Canis lupus familiaris: one gene and its partner. The protein of the gene in region 2 purifies or fractionates together with the protein of the main gene of each other region. This does not show direct contact. Links are inferred from orthologs where the notes say so. Each region holds a gene or a part of one and is shown on either strand. Other genes may lie near its edges. The genes, in order: LYN and GP6.

What was found.
Region 1: the proteins of GP6 (region 2) and LYN purify together in Homo sapiens (affinity purification with western blotting; 5 studies listed by BioGRID and IntAct, with this or other methods). This does not show direct contact. The link is inferred for Canis lupus familiaris from reciprocal best matches to the Homo sapiens genes GP6 and LYN.

The regions. Positions count from the first base shown.
Region 1 is NC_049250.1:7,826,931-7,835,166, reverse strand, and holds the start of LYN (tyrosine-protein kinase Lyn), read right to left. Parts: upstream 4,217-8,236; 5' UTR 4,135-4,216; intron 1-4,134. UniProt on the Homo sapiens protein: Non-receptor tyrosine-protein kinase that transmits signals from cell surface receptors and plays an important role in the regulation of innate and adaptive immune responses, hematopoiesis, responses to growth factors and cytokines, integrin signaling, but also responses to DNA damage and genotoxic agents.
Region 2 is NC_049222.1:103,345,602-103,353,573, forward strand, and holds the start of GP6 (platelet glycoprotein VI), read left to right. Parts: upstream 1-2,689; 5' UTR 2,690-2,830; coding exon of another isoform or gene 2,831-2,864; intron 2,865-5,987; exon of another isoform or gene 5,988-6,091; 5' UTR 6,092-6,094; coding exon 6,095-6,239; intron 6,240-6,353; coding exon 6,354-6,611; intron 6,612-7,972.

The DNA of each region.
Region 1 (8,236 bases), on a different chromosome or scaffold from region 2:
CTTGGGACTATGTGACTGTTCATAAAGACAGTCAAACAATCAACCTTTTGGAAAAGTTCTATACAAACGAAACTACATCCTGATGGTAAATAGAACTTCCAAGAAATAGCTTTGTGGCAAATAATGAACATTGACAGCTTACTAAGTACTAAAGAAAGTGAAGCAGAGAACTAGATTGAAGAGAAAGTCTAAGAACAAAAAATAAAGGCTATATTATTGGGCCCTGCAACTGATCGGCATAGACGTACCTTTCTAACACCTCATCTCAAGTCATCATCTGAACTTGCTATTCTAAATTACATGACAGCCCTTCCAGCTAACGTAAACAAAGACATCCAAAAGAAGGTCCAAGTCTTTAAATGGGGCTGTTCCAAAAATTCTAATTCCTCAACGGGCAGATTCCCACACATTTCCTACACTTGGGCTTCTCCCCTAAATGGGAACTTACTCAAAATAAATTTCAGAAATGATGATAGAGTCAACTCAACATTTCACAATTTAAGTATCAGGAAACTGGGCAGGTGTAAGAAATCTTTCAATAGTTCTGACTGGAAAAAAAAAAAAAAAAGAAACTTCCTCTTCTATGCCCTTCTGTTCACCACCAATCTTTAAAGATGGTAGGCAATGTGTGTCCATTGTAGAAGTGTGGGCTTTGAAGGGTGCCTGGCCCATCACAGGTGCTCAGTAAAGGAGTGCATGCTTTAACGAGTATCTTATGGGCCCTGTCTCCCTACGTTATGTTTTCACCTCAAATGATGCTCTCACTGTTATAACAACCACCCAAGGAGGCTTGTAGGGTTCATGGGAGACACTTCTAGCAGCGGCTGGAGGCAATCCTTTGGTAAAGTATTACTTGCACACTTCTATATCAACCAATAGGCCCTGATAGCTCCCAAGGCAGTCACTGGAAGCGCTTGGGCAAGAGCCAATACAGGTGTCACCCTGGCAGTTATCAGAGCCACCCCCTCCCAAAGCTTCCCAAGCAGGAAGCCCCTCCCCAAGCAGGAAGCACACTGAAAGGCAAAGAAACCCATCTCCCTCAGTTTGCTTGCCTTAAGTGCCCTACTTGATGGTGCAATTATCAAGTGATAGAAGAAAATTACCCTGTGGTTCTCTATTTAATAATGTTTATTAAGTGATCATTTCTTTGCTTTTATGTAATTGAGTACCTACCACCAGAGCAAAGGCAGAAAAGTGGGGAACGTTCTAAAGTTGGAGCAGAAAACACACTTGCTCTGCCCAGTAGTGCCACTTAACCAGGTCTGTAACCTTAGACACCAAACCTCTTTTTTCTGTACCTGTCCCTGCCTACCCTGGGATCCAGGAGAGGTTCAAATGAAATCAGAGCTCAGGAATCAGAGCTCAGAGCTTCTGACAAGCGAAAGGTGTGAGCAGTCATTGCCAGGTAGAGCCCAAGAGAGGTGAGACCACCATTGTCATCAATGTGTCATCGGTCAATGTCCCAACTAATGACTGTAGTGACCTTCCACTGTTAATATTATCCATGCCTGAGGACGTGGAGGTCATTGAGATCAGTATTGTAAGCTAGATGTAACAATACTTATTGTAGACATGTACACTGTTGTGTTCTTATTTATACTAATTCACATTTGTATGGGTTTGTTTATGGATAGTATAGCTTAATGTTGTTAACTTACAACTCTATATATTCATTTGAACCAACTGGTATCTCATGTTCTGGTGATTTATTTTTAAAACAAATATAAAGAAACTAAAGGGCTTAGAGAGTCACTGATTCACAAAACTGGACCACTTTTCTGCTAAAAAATGCCATTGGGGGTGCAGGGGTATTGCAAAGTCTTCACATATTTTGGCAACACCAACAGCTCTAAGATAAAGTGGGTCTTTTTGATTGGGCAAACTCCCTTTGCAGGCTACATGACATCACTCCAAATCAAGCCCTTGCTCCCAGGGATACACCCCAATAACCTTTCCTATGTAGAGATTACCACTTAGAACACTGACACTGGGATAACTTGACAGTCAAAAATCCCCGTTTTAGGGGCACCTGGGTGGCTCACCTGAGCATCTGCCTTTGGCTCAGGTCGTGAACCCAAGGTCCTAGGATCGAGTCCCACAAGAGGCTCCCTGTGTGTCTCTCATGAATAAATAAAATCTTAAACAACAACAACAATAACCCTGTTTTAAAAACCGGGACAGAGAGGGCCAGGTTCAAATGCTTTAGAAACCACCACCTTGTTCCTTGGCCTTGCACAGAGCCAAACTCAGAGCCAAACTTCACTCCCTCTTCCGAGTAATCTGGACTGTGATAGGCACTGGGGCTAGTGTTTTGGACGAGACAGACAAAGTCGTTTTCACCCACCTTTCATTGCAGTGGTGAATACGGACTCTACATGCAAACGAATCAGAATATAACTGAATACTGCTCCGAAGGAAATGTTAGCTGAATCAAAGGGCCAAGGCATTTACCCAACTTAGTCCATATCACAGTTCTGGTAAATGATGGGAGAGACCCAAACGTGGGTTTTCCAGAGCCTGTTTCTTTCCTTACATGGGCTGACCTCTACACTTCGCTCAGGAAGAGAGTTACCTCACTCTGTATCCAAAGAAGCCAGGTCACCAAGAGCCTCAAGACATTTACCTCCTTACCTTCAAAGGAAAACCTTCAGTTCAGGACTAACTGAACCCCACCCTTTTCCAGCAGAGTTTACTTTACTTAGGAAGGGCTTCTGGGGACTTAGGGAATTCCTATACTCTTTCAGTGCCTATTACCCTCTGCAGTGCTTTAGCTTTTAAGATACGGGGACAACAGGCCTGCCCTCCTGAGCTCTGCAGGCAGCCAGCCTGGGGGGCAGCCAACAAATCAGAAGTAAGTCAAACATCATTAACTAGTGCTTAGCGTGAGACTCCCAGACCCTAGCTTTGCAGACAGCAGACCTCTGGTGTATTTATTAAGCAGCTTTACTAGCTAGGAAGGTCAGTTGGCTGAATCAGACATGTAGTCTTAGACTTAAAATCAACAAATTGTGAAGAACCAGGGAACCGTGTTTTAACGGATAGAATTATCTGCAATAGGGATCCCTGGGTGGCGCAGGGGTTTGGCGCCTGCCTTTGGCCCAGGGCGCGATCCTGGAGACCCGGGATCGAATCCCACATCGGGCTCCCTGCATGGAGCCTGCTTCTCCCTCTGCCTGTGTCTCTGCCTCTCTCTCTGTGACTATCATAAATAAATAAACATTTTTAAAAAATTAAAAAAAAAAGAATTATCTGCAATAAATAATAACAGCGCCATTTATGAAATGCCTATGTACGCACTCGGGGCTTTACATGCAATAAATAGCTCAGAAGGTAAATATGTTCTCCCAGAGACGAAAAAACCCATACAGGTAATTTCAATAATAGGCCCAGGTTGACACTCAGCTAGAAAACTGGAAGGCCCAAATTCAACTGGGGTTTTTGGCAAAGAAGTTGGGTGGGTTTGTGATAATTCTCTTCTCTCTCTCTCTCTCTCTCTCTCTCTCTCACACACACACACACACACACACACACACGGATACACGGAGAAATGGAAACACAACCAGACGACCACGTCAGCTATTAGTGGGAACATATATGCGCGGCTCGGAGGAGATGCCGCAGTGGCCAAGATAACGCAGGAAAGCGGGAACTGACGCCTACGCCCTCCCCCCAGGGCGCAGGAAAGGCAACCCCTGAATTCTTAAAATAACTCTCGCTTCCTCTGGGCCGCGGGAGGCTCGGGACTGCTCCTCCGCCGGCCGGGAGGCGCCGGGCTCAGCGGGAGGGCGCGCACCAGCCTCGGCCGCAGCCCCCCGACCTCACGCTCCGCCCGGGGCTCCCGAGGAGCGCAGCCGCCCGCCGGCCTGGCGGGGAGCCCGGGCCGAGCCCCGTCCCTCACCTCGGGGAGCCCGGGGCCCCGCGGCGAGACCCGACCGCGCGAGCCGAGGAGTCCCGGGTCCCCGGCGCGCCCGCCCCGCGCCTCCCCTCCCCCGCGCCCCTCCCTGCGCCCCCCCGCCCCCCTGCGCGCCGCGGCGGGGAGACACCTGCGGAGCGTCCCCCGCGCCCCAGGGCCCGGCCACCCACGGGCTGGAGGCATCTGGCGCCCTCACGGCGGGGCCCGCGCCGGGCACTCACCAGCTCCGGCTGCAAGCTGCGGGGCGGCGGCGGCGGCGCTCCACGGTGACTCGAGCGCAGGGCGGGGGGCGCGACGGGGCGGCCCGGCGGGGCCGGCGCGGGGCAGGCTGCGGGCGCGGGGCGCGGGGCGCGGGGTCGCGGCCCGGAGGCTGCGCGCGCGGGGCCCGGAGGCGCCACGGCAGGGGGCGAGCGGCGGACGGCCCCGAGCGGCGGGAGAGGAACTGGCTGTCGCTGGGCTCGGCCGAGAGGTCCCAGCTACTTCCTGGTGCTCGGATTTGCATACCGCGCCGGGAGGCGGGGAAGTGACCGCTTGGCCCCTGCCCAAGGTTTGGGTCTCCGGTGTGGCCGTCGCGCGCGCCCTGAAGGCAGGGAAACCTCGCCTCGGCGTGCGGCTCCGCGGAGGGGAGCGGCCGGGGTCCGACCTCCTCCCGTAGCGGGGGCGGAAGGAGCGTCCGGGGGCATCCTCCGGGGCCTGGACGTGGAGCCCGGACGTGGAGCCCGGACGTGGAGCCCGGCGGCAGAGCCTCTCGCGCGCGCCTCCTTTGCTTCCTTTCCAACCGATTCGCCGTAAGGTGTTGGGGAACCGGGAGCCCCTGGCAGCGGGGGCGGGGCGCGCTCGGATCCCCGACATCTGGAGGGCTCGGGAAGGGGGATGCGGTGCGGAGCGGAGGCCGGGGTCTCGCGGAGCGCTTAGTAGCGGGTGCAGAGTAAGCTCCTTCACGGGGGACACGGGGACTTTCAGGGTGTAAGGCCGGGGGAGAACGGCCTGCCCAATCATTCAGTGCCTCACGACTTCGATTTCCTCCCAGGAGGATGGAGATGAGGGTGCCTACCTCGCAGCGTCACTGGGAGGAAGGAATAAATGCCTCCCGCGAGGGGCTCGCTCCGTGCCCAGCGCACAGCCGCGGTTCTCCGCTGCTGTCCGCGTCCTCGCGTGGAGCGCACTGCCTGGCACACAGCAAGCGCATAATCGATGTTTGTGGGTTGTCAAGCCCAGGCTCCAACCCCAGTAAATGCCGCACACGTACCCAAGGTTATGATATTAGCCCCAGTCACAGCGGCGGCCCCTTGCTCTAAGCGAGATGCGCTGGGCTCCCAGCGTTACAGTCCGCTGTGGGACTTCCCTGGAAATAAACAGCGCCCTGGAGGAGATTCAGTCTTTGTATTAATAATAGCAAACACACCGGGCCTATCGGGTGCCGGGCATCGTGCTAACCGCTTTAGATTGACTACCTTCCTTTAACATGTTCTCCTTTTTTCTGTGATTCTTCTTTTTAAAATATCTTTTAAATCAAGGTATACTTGATCTACACTGTCACCTTGATGGTGATCCAACCAGCCTGTCCGTTGATGCCGGGCTCACTAGTGTAGCTGCCATCCGTCTCCACACAACGCTCTTGTAATACCATTGACTGCGTTCCCTGTGCTGTACCTTTCATCCCCCTGACTTACTCATTCCGTAACTGGAAGCCTCTTAGTTCCCACTCCTCTGCGCCTCCTTTGCCCATCCTCCCACCCCCATTCCCTCTGGCAACCATCAGTTTGCCCTCTGTTGTTTGGCGGTCTGTTTCTGCTTTGTTCATTTGTTTTGCTTTTTAGAGTCCACATATAAGTGAAATCATATGATATTTGTCTTTCTCTGTCTGACTTATTTCAATCAGCATAATGCCCTCTAGATCCATCCCTGTCACAAATGATAAGATCTCGTTCTATTTTTATGACTGAATAATGTTCTATTGTGTGTGTATATATGTACATATTATTTTTAATTTTTTGAGGGACCTCTATACTGTTTTCCACAGGGGCTGCATCAATTTACATCCCCACCCACAGTGCACAAGGATTCCTTTTTCTCCACATCCTCACCAACCCTTGTTATTTTTTGCCCTTTTTTAAATTATAGTCATTCTAACAGGTGTGGGGTGCTGTCCCATTGGGATTTTAATTTGTATTTCCCTGAAGATAAGTGAAGTTGAGCATCTTTTCATGTGTCTGTTGGCCATCTGTATGTCTTCTTTGGCAAGCTATTTGTTCAGGTCCCCTGCTCGTTTGTTAATCGGATCATTTTCGTTTTTTTGGCATTGAGTTGTGTTTTGAATCAGATATATCATTTCCAAATATCTTCTCCCATTCAGGAGGTTGCCTTTTCATTAAAATATTTCCTTTGCCGTGCAGAAGCTTTTTATTTTGGTGTAGTCCCAATAATTGACTTTTGGTTTTATTTCCCTTGCCTCAGGCGACACGTCTAGAAAGATGGCTCTAGCTGAGCTCCAAGTTTACTGTCTCTGTTTTCTACTAGGACTCTTATAGTTTCAGGTCTTACAGTTTAGGTCTTTAATTCATTTTGAGTTTATTTTTGTGTATGATGTAAGAAAGTGGACCAATTTCATTCTTTTGCATATAACCATTTCTTTCTCCCAGCACAATCTATTGAAGGGATTGTCTTTTCCCCACTGTATATTCTTACTTTGGTTATTATAAGTGTGGGTTATTAATAACATTTTCAGGAGGCTAGCTCCCCTTGAGGCTACAGCCACGGTCCCGCGGTCGAGTGGCCACCTTAACATAATCCTATACAGCAGTAGTTTATTACTGGTAACAGACAGCCAAGGTTTGCAATCTGCTGCCTCAAAAAACAAGAAGTAGGATGGTTTATACCTGTGACGTTCACTAGTATGTAGCCGCTTAGTTTCCTGCTGAAGAGGAAGGGATGGGTTACCTGTTGGAAGGTAGTGGATGAATGAGTGGAATCTGTCATGGGTCCTATGGAATAATTCACTACCTGAGAGTCCATTTTCTGGACCTTTCTTCAGGATGACCTTTCAAGTATATTGGCCCTAAATTAAAATAGCTACTATTACCAACAAGTCCTTGAGATCCTGGCAAAAGGCATGTGACTGGGATGCAAGATGTTTAGTGTTGGTTAATCCATCTGGAATGTCCTGTCAGTGTTTTTTGGTAAAATGTCTGATGGAACAAGGAACAAAGCATCATCAGGCAGAGCTAGGCTTGCACTCAGCTCTAACCACGTCTGGCCCCTTACATACAAGCATCCTGCCTAAGTTTGTCTCTTTATTCTTACTTTTTTGGGGAAAATCAATGTTCATTCCCACTTCTCAGGTTGCATTCATATATACTGAATACTTCCTCACTCACCCTCTATATTTGTTTTCCATAAGTGCCATGAAAGTTCCATGTTTTGGAAAAGCTTTATTTAAAGACTCCATGGGAATCGTTGTTTTCTAGATATCTAGAGCACTTGGCAGTGTGCGACATTCTTGGTAAACTAGACTTAGCTCCTGTCCAACATGGTTGCCTTTGTTTCACAGGGTAGCTTTCTGTCCTCAACTGCTGATAAATAGCAAACCCCTCTTTGGAAGCCATTGCTTCTTGTATTTGTCTCTTTCCCACTGCACTTGTCAAAAATTCTATTAGGTACTTTAGGGGGTGCCTGGCTGGCTCAGTCGGTAGAGCATGCGACCGTTGTTCTCGGGGTTATGAGTTCGAGCCCTACACTGGGTGTAGAGATTGCTTAAAAATAAAATCTTTAAACAAAAAAGTTCTATTAGGGGCTTTAAAATACTTGATGACTACTGGTTGGGTCAGTGACTGATGGACTGAGTTGCGTCAAGGGTATTTTCAGTTGGGAATTGAACACAGATGAATGATCAGAAGCAGACTGCAAATCAACAAAGATCCCTCTTGGCAGGGGAAGCAGACTTTTGGAGAAGGTGGGGGTATGACTGGGCAGGACAAGAGGAGGAAGTAGTGGAAATGGCACCAGCTATGTATATCCTCTCAATTCCATTATCTGCAAATTCACGGACTCACTAAAATTTAAGTGTAACCCCCACATCCATACTCACAGTACTTTCATAGCCATGCATGGACCTGAGCATAGCAGTGACAACCTCTGTCTCCTCATGCAGACGTTCCCAGCAGAGGTCAAATAAGGTGAAGTTCTGCCTTCTTGTTTAAGCTCTTGTACCATAAACCAGTGTCCTTTGGTGATTTTGTTTAGTGCCATGTTTTTTGCATTTTTGTGCTTTTTGTTGGTGATTTCACTGTGTAAAATGGCCCTTGGGCACAGTACTGTCTAGTG
Region 2 (7,972 bases):
CGCATTTCTCCTTGCAGATGATGTCTTGGAGGACATCCAACTTAGGGACAGACAGATGGACATGCATGTGAGTCTCTCCTCAGCTACCTCTTCTGCTCTAATCACCTTCTACAGATTCTCCTTTTTACTTTGTATTTCTGTGCTGACAGGACCCTATAGAGGAAGATCCTCAAGAGGTGACCTATGTTCAGCTACACCAGAAGGCCCTCACAAGGAGTGTGGATACATTTTTCTCCTGAACTAATGAGAACTTCTCTGGCCAGCCCTGTGTGTATGCCACCCTCACCTTGTCCTGAGTGCAGAGCCAGGACTGCCCATATAGACTCCAGTATTCAAGTGAGCCTTAACAAAGGTGCAGCTCAATGGGGTGTCCTACTTATGTCCCTCAACACAAGCTATCAGCTTGTAACTCCCCAAAGACTCAAGACTAGAGTCAACTTGTCAACTGTAAAGAAATTCCAGGACCGATCAAATATCTCTCAACAGATTGCTGGTTCCTTGTACAGTTACCCATTCAGTTGTGGAACTAGAGGGTATTATGCTGAGTGAAGTAAGTCAATTGGAGAAGGACAATCATTATATGGTTTCACTCATATGGGGAATATAAAAAATAGTGAAAGAGATTACAGGGGAAAGGAGGGAAAATGAGTGGGAAAAATTAGAGAGGGTGACAAAACATGAGAGACTCCTAACTGAGAAATGAACAAGGAATAGTAGAAGGGGAGGCGGGCGGGGGGATGGGGTGACTGGGTGATGGGTGATGGACTGAGGAGGGCACTCGACGGGATGAGCATTGGGTGTCATACTATATGTTGGCAAATCGAACTTCAATTAAAAATATATTTAAGGGGATCCCTGGGTGGCGCAGAGGTTTGGCGCCCGCCTTTGGTCCAAGGCACGATCCTGGAGACCTGGGATCGAATCCCACGTCGGGCTCCCGGTGCATGGAGCCTGCTTCTCCCTCTGCCTATGTCTCTGCCTCTCTCTCTCTCTGTGTGTGACTATAATAAATAAATAAAAAATTAAAAAAAATATATATTCAAAAAAAAAGAAAGCAAAGTGGAGTGACCCACAGGAGCAGGTGTAAAGATGCTTTGGGTCACTGAGCAGACATAATGTCTAGGCATGTTTAAAGAGCACTCATTGGTACCAAATACAAAGGAAAGTCATGAAGTGACTGTGGGAGAAGGAACCAGTACAGAGAATCTGGATGGCCATTTGGCAGTGAGTAAATTGAAGATGCACCTAACTCAAGATTTGACAATTTCCTAGTGGATACATATTTTAAAGATATTCTCACATATGTCCAGAGGGGTGCATGAGGAATGATATTTATCTCAGCATTGTTTACAGCAGAGATATTTGGACATAATGTGGCTATCCATCATTGGGACAGTGAGAGGACAAATGTGTTGAAGCAAGTACCTGTTCTGCAAACTTATGAATGGTCTGAAAACACTGAGTGTGCAATGGAAAGACAATGACTTCCACAGCATTACACAACTTACTACACAATACAATTTAAAAGATATAAAATAAAGCTTTGCAGGGATGAATGAATTCACATGGACTATTTCAGAGCTGCTCCTTGGAGATGGAGAATAAAAATGAGAACCATAGGGCAGAGATGAATTACAGAAGAGAGTGATTACCTACATGCATGTGTGCCTGTGCTAAACCAAAGGAAACCGATTATTCAGCTCCCAGAACCCAAGCTCTAACTAGAAAAATACATTTTCTTTCTTTTTTAAAGATTTTTATTTATTTGTTCATGACACACACACACACACACACACACACACACACACAGAGGCAGAGACACAGGCAGAGGGAGAAGCAGGCTCCATTCAGGGAGCCTGACATGGGACTCTATCCCGGGTCTCCAGGATCACGCCTGGGCTGAAGGCGGTGCTAAGCCGCTGAGCCACCCAGGCTACCCAAAAAATACATTTTCTTCTAAGTTCAGGTTTCCCTGTTTGAATGGGACTAAAGGTCCACCTGTTTCTCAGTCTTGTGTGAGGGTCAACGAAGTAGTGACTGAAAAGTGAGTAGGTTTACAGACATATTTGTGCACCCAAGTTTATCTTGTCCTCAGAGTCCCTCAGTGATTTAACCCAGTGGTTCTCGACTGGCCATGGTTTTGTCCCCCAGGGGACATCTGAAGATGTCCAGAGACTCGTTGGTCATCACAACTGGAGGGGGAGTTGTGCTAGTGATTTCTAGTGGATGGAGGCCAGAGATACTGCTGAGCCTCGCAGAAGCACAAGACAGCCCACCCCCACTCCAACAGGCACCTGGCTCCAATTGTCAACACTGCCAAGGTTGGGATACCCTGATCTGACCCCTATAATCTCTTCAGTCTTGGCTTTTTGCTCCTTGATTCTAGCCACATTAATCACTTCCCACTTACTTGAAAATGCCAGGCTCTTTGCCTCATCAAGGCTTTGGGGCAATGCTGAACGTATTGTTCTTCATCCATGGATATTTCTCATCACCAGGTATAATCTCAAATGTCACCCCTCCAAAGGAAAGCTCCATGAAACTGTTCCTGTTAATGAGATCCATCAGATAATATTCCTACTCCATGCCTGAAGATGCAGACATGGTGTGGTTCTAGGCTGGTGACAGAAGATAAATGAGCTTCTGTGAACTTGTGTGCAAGTCACTCTACTGAGGGCATGGCTCCAGCTTGATGATCCTCACTTAGGAAAAGCCAGGCAGATCCAGGAAGGGAGGAGAGGGCTCTGCATCCTCATCACATCCGATGTCTCTGCTCCAGCCCCTGCAGCTTCCCTCCTGGGTTACAGAGCTTTGGATGGGCTGAAGAACCATGGCCCCATCCCTGCCTGCCCTTCTGTGTCTTGGTGAGTACTGAGGATTGATCTGGGAAATGCTGAGGCACAGGCAGTAGGCTATGAGACTAAGAATGTTTAAAAAATTGCATCAGAAATGAATTTCAGGGCAATTGGTGACCTCCGAGGGCCCCTTCATTTCTTGGTTGGGAAAACTGGGACCTGGGAGGTGGTGTTTGTTATTCTGTTCTATTCCCTTCTTGGCTAGGTCAGGAAATAAATAGGTCTTCCAGTTTTGGCTACAACTTTGTCTCTATACACTGTGTTTTTTAAAAAAATTATTTATTTATTTATTCATTTAATTTTTTAAAAAGATGTTATTTATTTATTCATGAGACACACAGAGAGAGGCAGAGAAATAGGCAGAGGGAGAAGCAGGCTCCATGCAGGGAGCCTATGTGGGACTCAATCCCAGGACTATGGGATTGCACCCTGAGTCAAAGGCAGGTGCTCAACCGCTGAGCCACCCATGCATCCCTATTTAAGTTTTTTTTTTATGTGGACTTGGTGACATCAGGAGTAGATTATAGGTTTGTCAGCAAACCTGATGGCCCTGGAGAAAATAATCCTGCCATTTGCAACAACACGAATGTTCCTTGAGGGCATTATGCTAAGTGAAATAAGCCAGACAAGGAAAGAAAATGCTGCATGATCTCACTTATATGTGGAATCTAAAAAAGTCAAACTCACTAAGGCAGAGAGTAGACTGGTGGTTGCCAGGGGCTAGGGGAGGGGAAAAACAGGGAGATAGGTGGACAGAGTACAAGCTTCTAGTTATAAGATGAATAAACTCTGGGGATCTAATGCACAGCACAGTGACTATAGGCAATAATACTACAGAATATACTTGAAATTTACTGAGAGAGTAGATCTTAAGCATTTTCATCAAACCAAACCAAACCAAATCAATCTATGCAAGGTGGAAGATGAGGTAATTAGGTTGATTGTGGTGATCATTTGACAGTGTGTACATCTATCAAATCATCATGTCAGATACCCTAGATAGACAGTTTTTCTTTGCCACTTATACTTCCATAAGGCTGGAGTAAGAGTCTCTCAGAATGAGATTGGTGGTAGGATTATGTGTTTTTTTATTGCCTGCTCCTGCAGGTCTTGTGCAGTTTCCTTATTCAGGGGAGTCTTATTGCTAAAAGGACAGAAGCTCCAAGGCCAAGCAGGAAGGAACAGCTGTATTATGTGGATAAGAAAACAAACCACGAGCACAAACCGCCTGTCAGTCAGTCATTAACACACACTCATGTGGCATTTACTGTGGGCTAGATACGACAAGGTAGGCCCTCTCAATACCCCCATTTTACAGATGAGAAGGCTGAGGCTCAGAGGCAGTTTAGAAATTTGTTTAGGGGGATCCCTGGGTGGCGCAGCGGTTTGGCGCCTGTCTTTGGCTCAGGGCACGATCCTGGAGACCCGGGATCGAATCCCACGTCAGGCTCCCGGTGCATGGAGCCTGCTTCTCCCTCTGCTTGTGTCTCTGCCTTTCTCTCTCTCTCTCTCTGTGTGTGACTATCATAAATAAAAAAAAAAAAAAAAAAGAAACTTGTTTAGGTCACACATCTAGGGATCAAATAAACTAAGTTTATTTGAGTTTAGTGCCAAGTTCACATTGTTGGTAACTAAAATATGTGGCTGGTGTCTGAGTCTACCTTTTCCCAGCTGTAGGATGGTGGACAGGATACTGTCTCATCTCCATGGCCCGATTATGAAATGGGACTAATCATGGTCTCTAACCAGTAGTACTGTGGTGATTCAGAGTCCATATAGAAGTGCTCAGAAGGGTGCTGGGAGTATTTCTGGTCCTGTTAGAAGTTTGGAGTAGAAACCCACAAAAGGACCAAGGTGGGGTTGTGTTGGGCAGCGGACAAAGATGTGGGTAGAGCTTGGGTACGCATACCAGGTAAAGTACAGCATGCTCAGTGAAATTTAATTTCAGATAAACAACAAATAATTTTTAAAGTCTAAGTATATACCATTATATTTCATGGGTCATACTATACAAAAAAATTCATTGTTTATCGGAAATTCATATTTAAGTGGGAGTCCTATGTTTTTATTTGCTAAATCTGGCAATCCTAGCAAGGCTAAAATGGGGAATGCTACCAACACAACAAAAAAGTTGAACAAAAAAAAGTTCAGCTTGAAAGAAGAAAAGCTTTGGTCAATGTAGAGAAGGTAGAAGGCAAAATGCGGCAAAGTTACCTGCAAGGCAGAAAATGGAGTCTATAGATTATGTGGTTTGATAGGTGTGCAAAAGTACATGGGGAGGCTATTTAGAAGTGCGGAAAGAATTAGACACAGGGTCGAGGAAAAACTATGCAGAGGCACTAAACTGGACAAATATTGCTTCTAGGGAAAATAATTAGGAAAAATATACAGGTGCAATACTACACTCCTTTTTTTTTTTTCAATACTACACTCCTGAGTTGTGAATAATGTTTGCACAATCATAATAATTGCAGGGTATTGATTTAAACAAAAAATTAAAACAATGGGAAATTCATGATTAAGACAGCCAGTGATCTCTAGACATGATACAATGCAAGAGAGCCTATCTGGACCTACTGCACAGCATGGTGATTATAGCCAAGAACACCTTGTTGTTGAACATTCTAAATGTTCTCACCACAAAAAAGAAATGGTAATTATGTGACAGAAGGATGGAAGTATTAGCTAATGTTGTGGTGGTAATCATTTTGTGATATATAAATGTATTAAATCAACACCTACACCTTAAATTTACACAATGTTATGTATCGTATATCAATTATATCTTGATAAAGCTGAGAAAAAAAATAAAGACCACATCCTGCACACAGCCCCCTTTCCAGAGAGGAGATAATTCCCTTTACAGTTGTCAACCAGTGTGTGCATGGGGAGGAGGGGCAAGGAATTCGTGACTGGCTTTTTAAAAATTGTAATAAAATAACAAACTCAACATAAACTTTATCATTAATGACATTTAGTACATTCACAATGCATACAACCATCACTTCTATCTCATTCTAAGGCACTGTCACCAGTCTAAAAGGAAATCATGCCCATGAAAATCACTCCTCAATGCCCCTGCCACCCACCCCCCAGTTTCTGGCAACCACTAATCTCTCCATGTCTGAGCAGATTTACCTAGTGAGCATGTTTCAGATAAATGGAATCATACAATATGTGGCCTTCTGTGGCTGGCTTCTTCTGGCACTCAAATTATGTGAGTGTGTGTCCTTAAGCAAATGAGGACAGAAGAAAGTGACTGCCTGAAGATGTGGCATTACCTGCTCTGCGTGCAGAAGTGTGGCCTCCAGGAGATGCTAGCAGGTGGTGCTTTTCTTCTCTGCTCAGGGCTGTGTCTGGGGCAGGTGGTGCAAGCACAGCTTGGTGAGTCCTTCCCCTGGAATCCTCTGGATCTGGGTGCCTGCACAAGGGCCAGGAGGGTGGGAGGAGGGGAGCACCCAGGAGGAGGTCTGTTTGGAAATTCTGCTTCCCTTCCAGGTACCCTGCCCAAGCCCTCCCTCCAGGCTCTGCCTAGCTCCCTAGCACCCCTGAAGACGCAGGTGACCATCCGCTGCCAGGGGCCTCCAGACGTGGACTTGTACCGCCTGGAGAAGCTGAGGTCCCGGAAATACCAGGATCGGCCTGTCCTCTTCATCAAGACCATGGAGGAAAGTTTCGCTGGGTGTTACCGCTGCTCCTACCAGAACGGGACCCTCTGGTCTCCCCCCAGCAACCAGCTGGAGCTGGTGGCCACTGGTACCTGGAAGGGCATGGGAGGGGGCCACCTGTGGCCTCAGGGCTCCAGGAGGGTGAAGAGGGGGATGATGATGACAGCGAACCCCGAGTCCTGGGAGGCTGGGGTTAGGGTGGGGAGCTATGTTTAGGGGAGGTGGCAAAATCCACAGTGATTCACATAAGGAATATGTCAATGCAATACCTTTCCAAAACAATCAAAATCAATGCGAAAACATCCACACTGAACAAAGCATCATACTTTTTTTAAAAGAAGATTTTATTTATTTATTTGAGAGAAAGAAGAGAGGGAGAAGCAGACTCCCCTCTGAGCAGGAAGCTGGAACCCGAGCTGATTCAGGACCCCAGGATCATGACCTGAACTGAAAGCAGTTGCTTAACCAACTGAGCCACCCAGGTCCCGCAAAACATTTTAAGTAAAGACAGAACCTGGCAGTGTCCTTTCAAGCCATGCTTAAGCCTTATGCAAAAGGCAACATGTATACCCTCTATCCACGTTCTAATGCATTATTGTTTATTTTTATTTTTTTGGTGGAATAAAGTGTTCTCAGCTTATGCTTTTATTTCTAATGCATTTTTATTTATTTAATTTAATTTAATTTAATTTAATTTTATTTTATTTTTTAAAGGATTTTGTTTATTTATTCCTGAGAAACACAGAGAGAAGCAGAGACATAGACATAGGGAGAAGTAGACAGGGGCTCGCAGAGAGCCCATTGTGGGACTTGATCCCTGGACTGGGATCATGTCCTGAGCCAAAGACAGACGCCCAACTGCTGAGCCACCCAGTGTCCCTCTAAAGCATTTTTAAATGGTAATTTTCTGAACAGATTTTGAAAATATCATTGATGAATTTGTTTCCCTAAAGTCAGGAGAATTAAAAGGATAATAAATTCTTTAAAAAGTATTTTTTTTGTATAAATAAATATTTAAACTTAAAATAATTTGTGAGTTTTAATAGCCTACTTTAAAGTTTTTCAATTTTTTCAACTGTTAATAGCCTGGAAAATTTTTTTATTTTTATTTATTTTTATTTTTTTAATTTATTTATGATAGTCACACAGAATGAGAGAGGGGAGCAGAGACACAGGCAGAGGGAGAAGCAGTCTCCATGCACCGGCAGCCCGATGTGGGACTCGATCCCGGGTCTCCAGGATCACGCCCTGGGCCAAAGGCAGGCGCCAAACCGCTGCGCCACCCAGGGATCCTGGAAAATTTTTTTAATACACAAAAACTTTATTTGATAGTACATCCATTGTCAAATGTGAAGTCCAGGCTCAAACTGCACTGGCCTCCGCGTGATTATGTACACAGCTCACACTACTTACAGCAATGTGTAGTAAGTAACTCAGAGTCACAAGTCC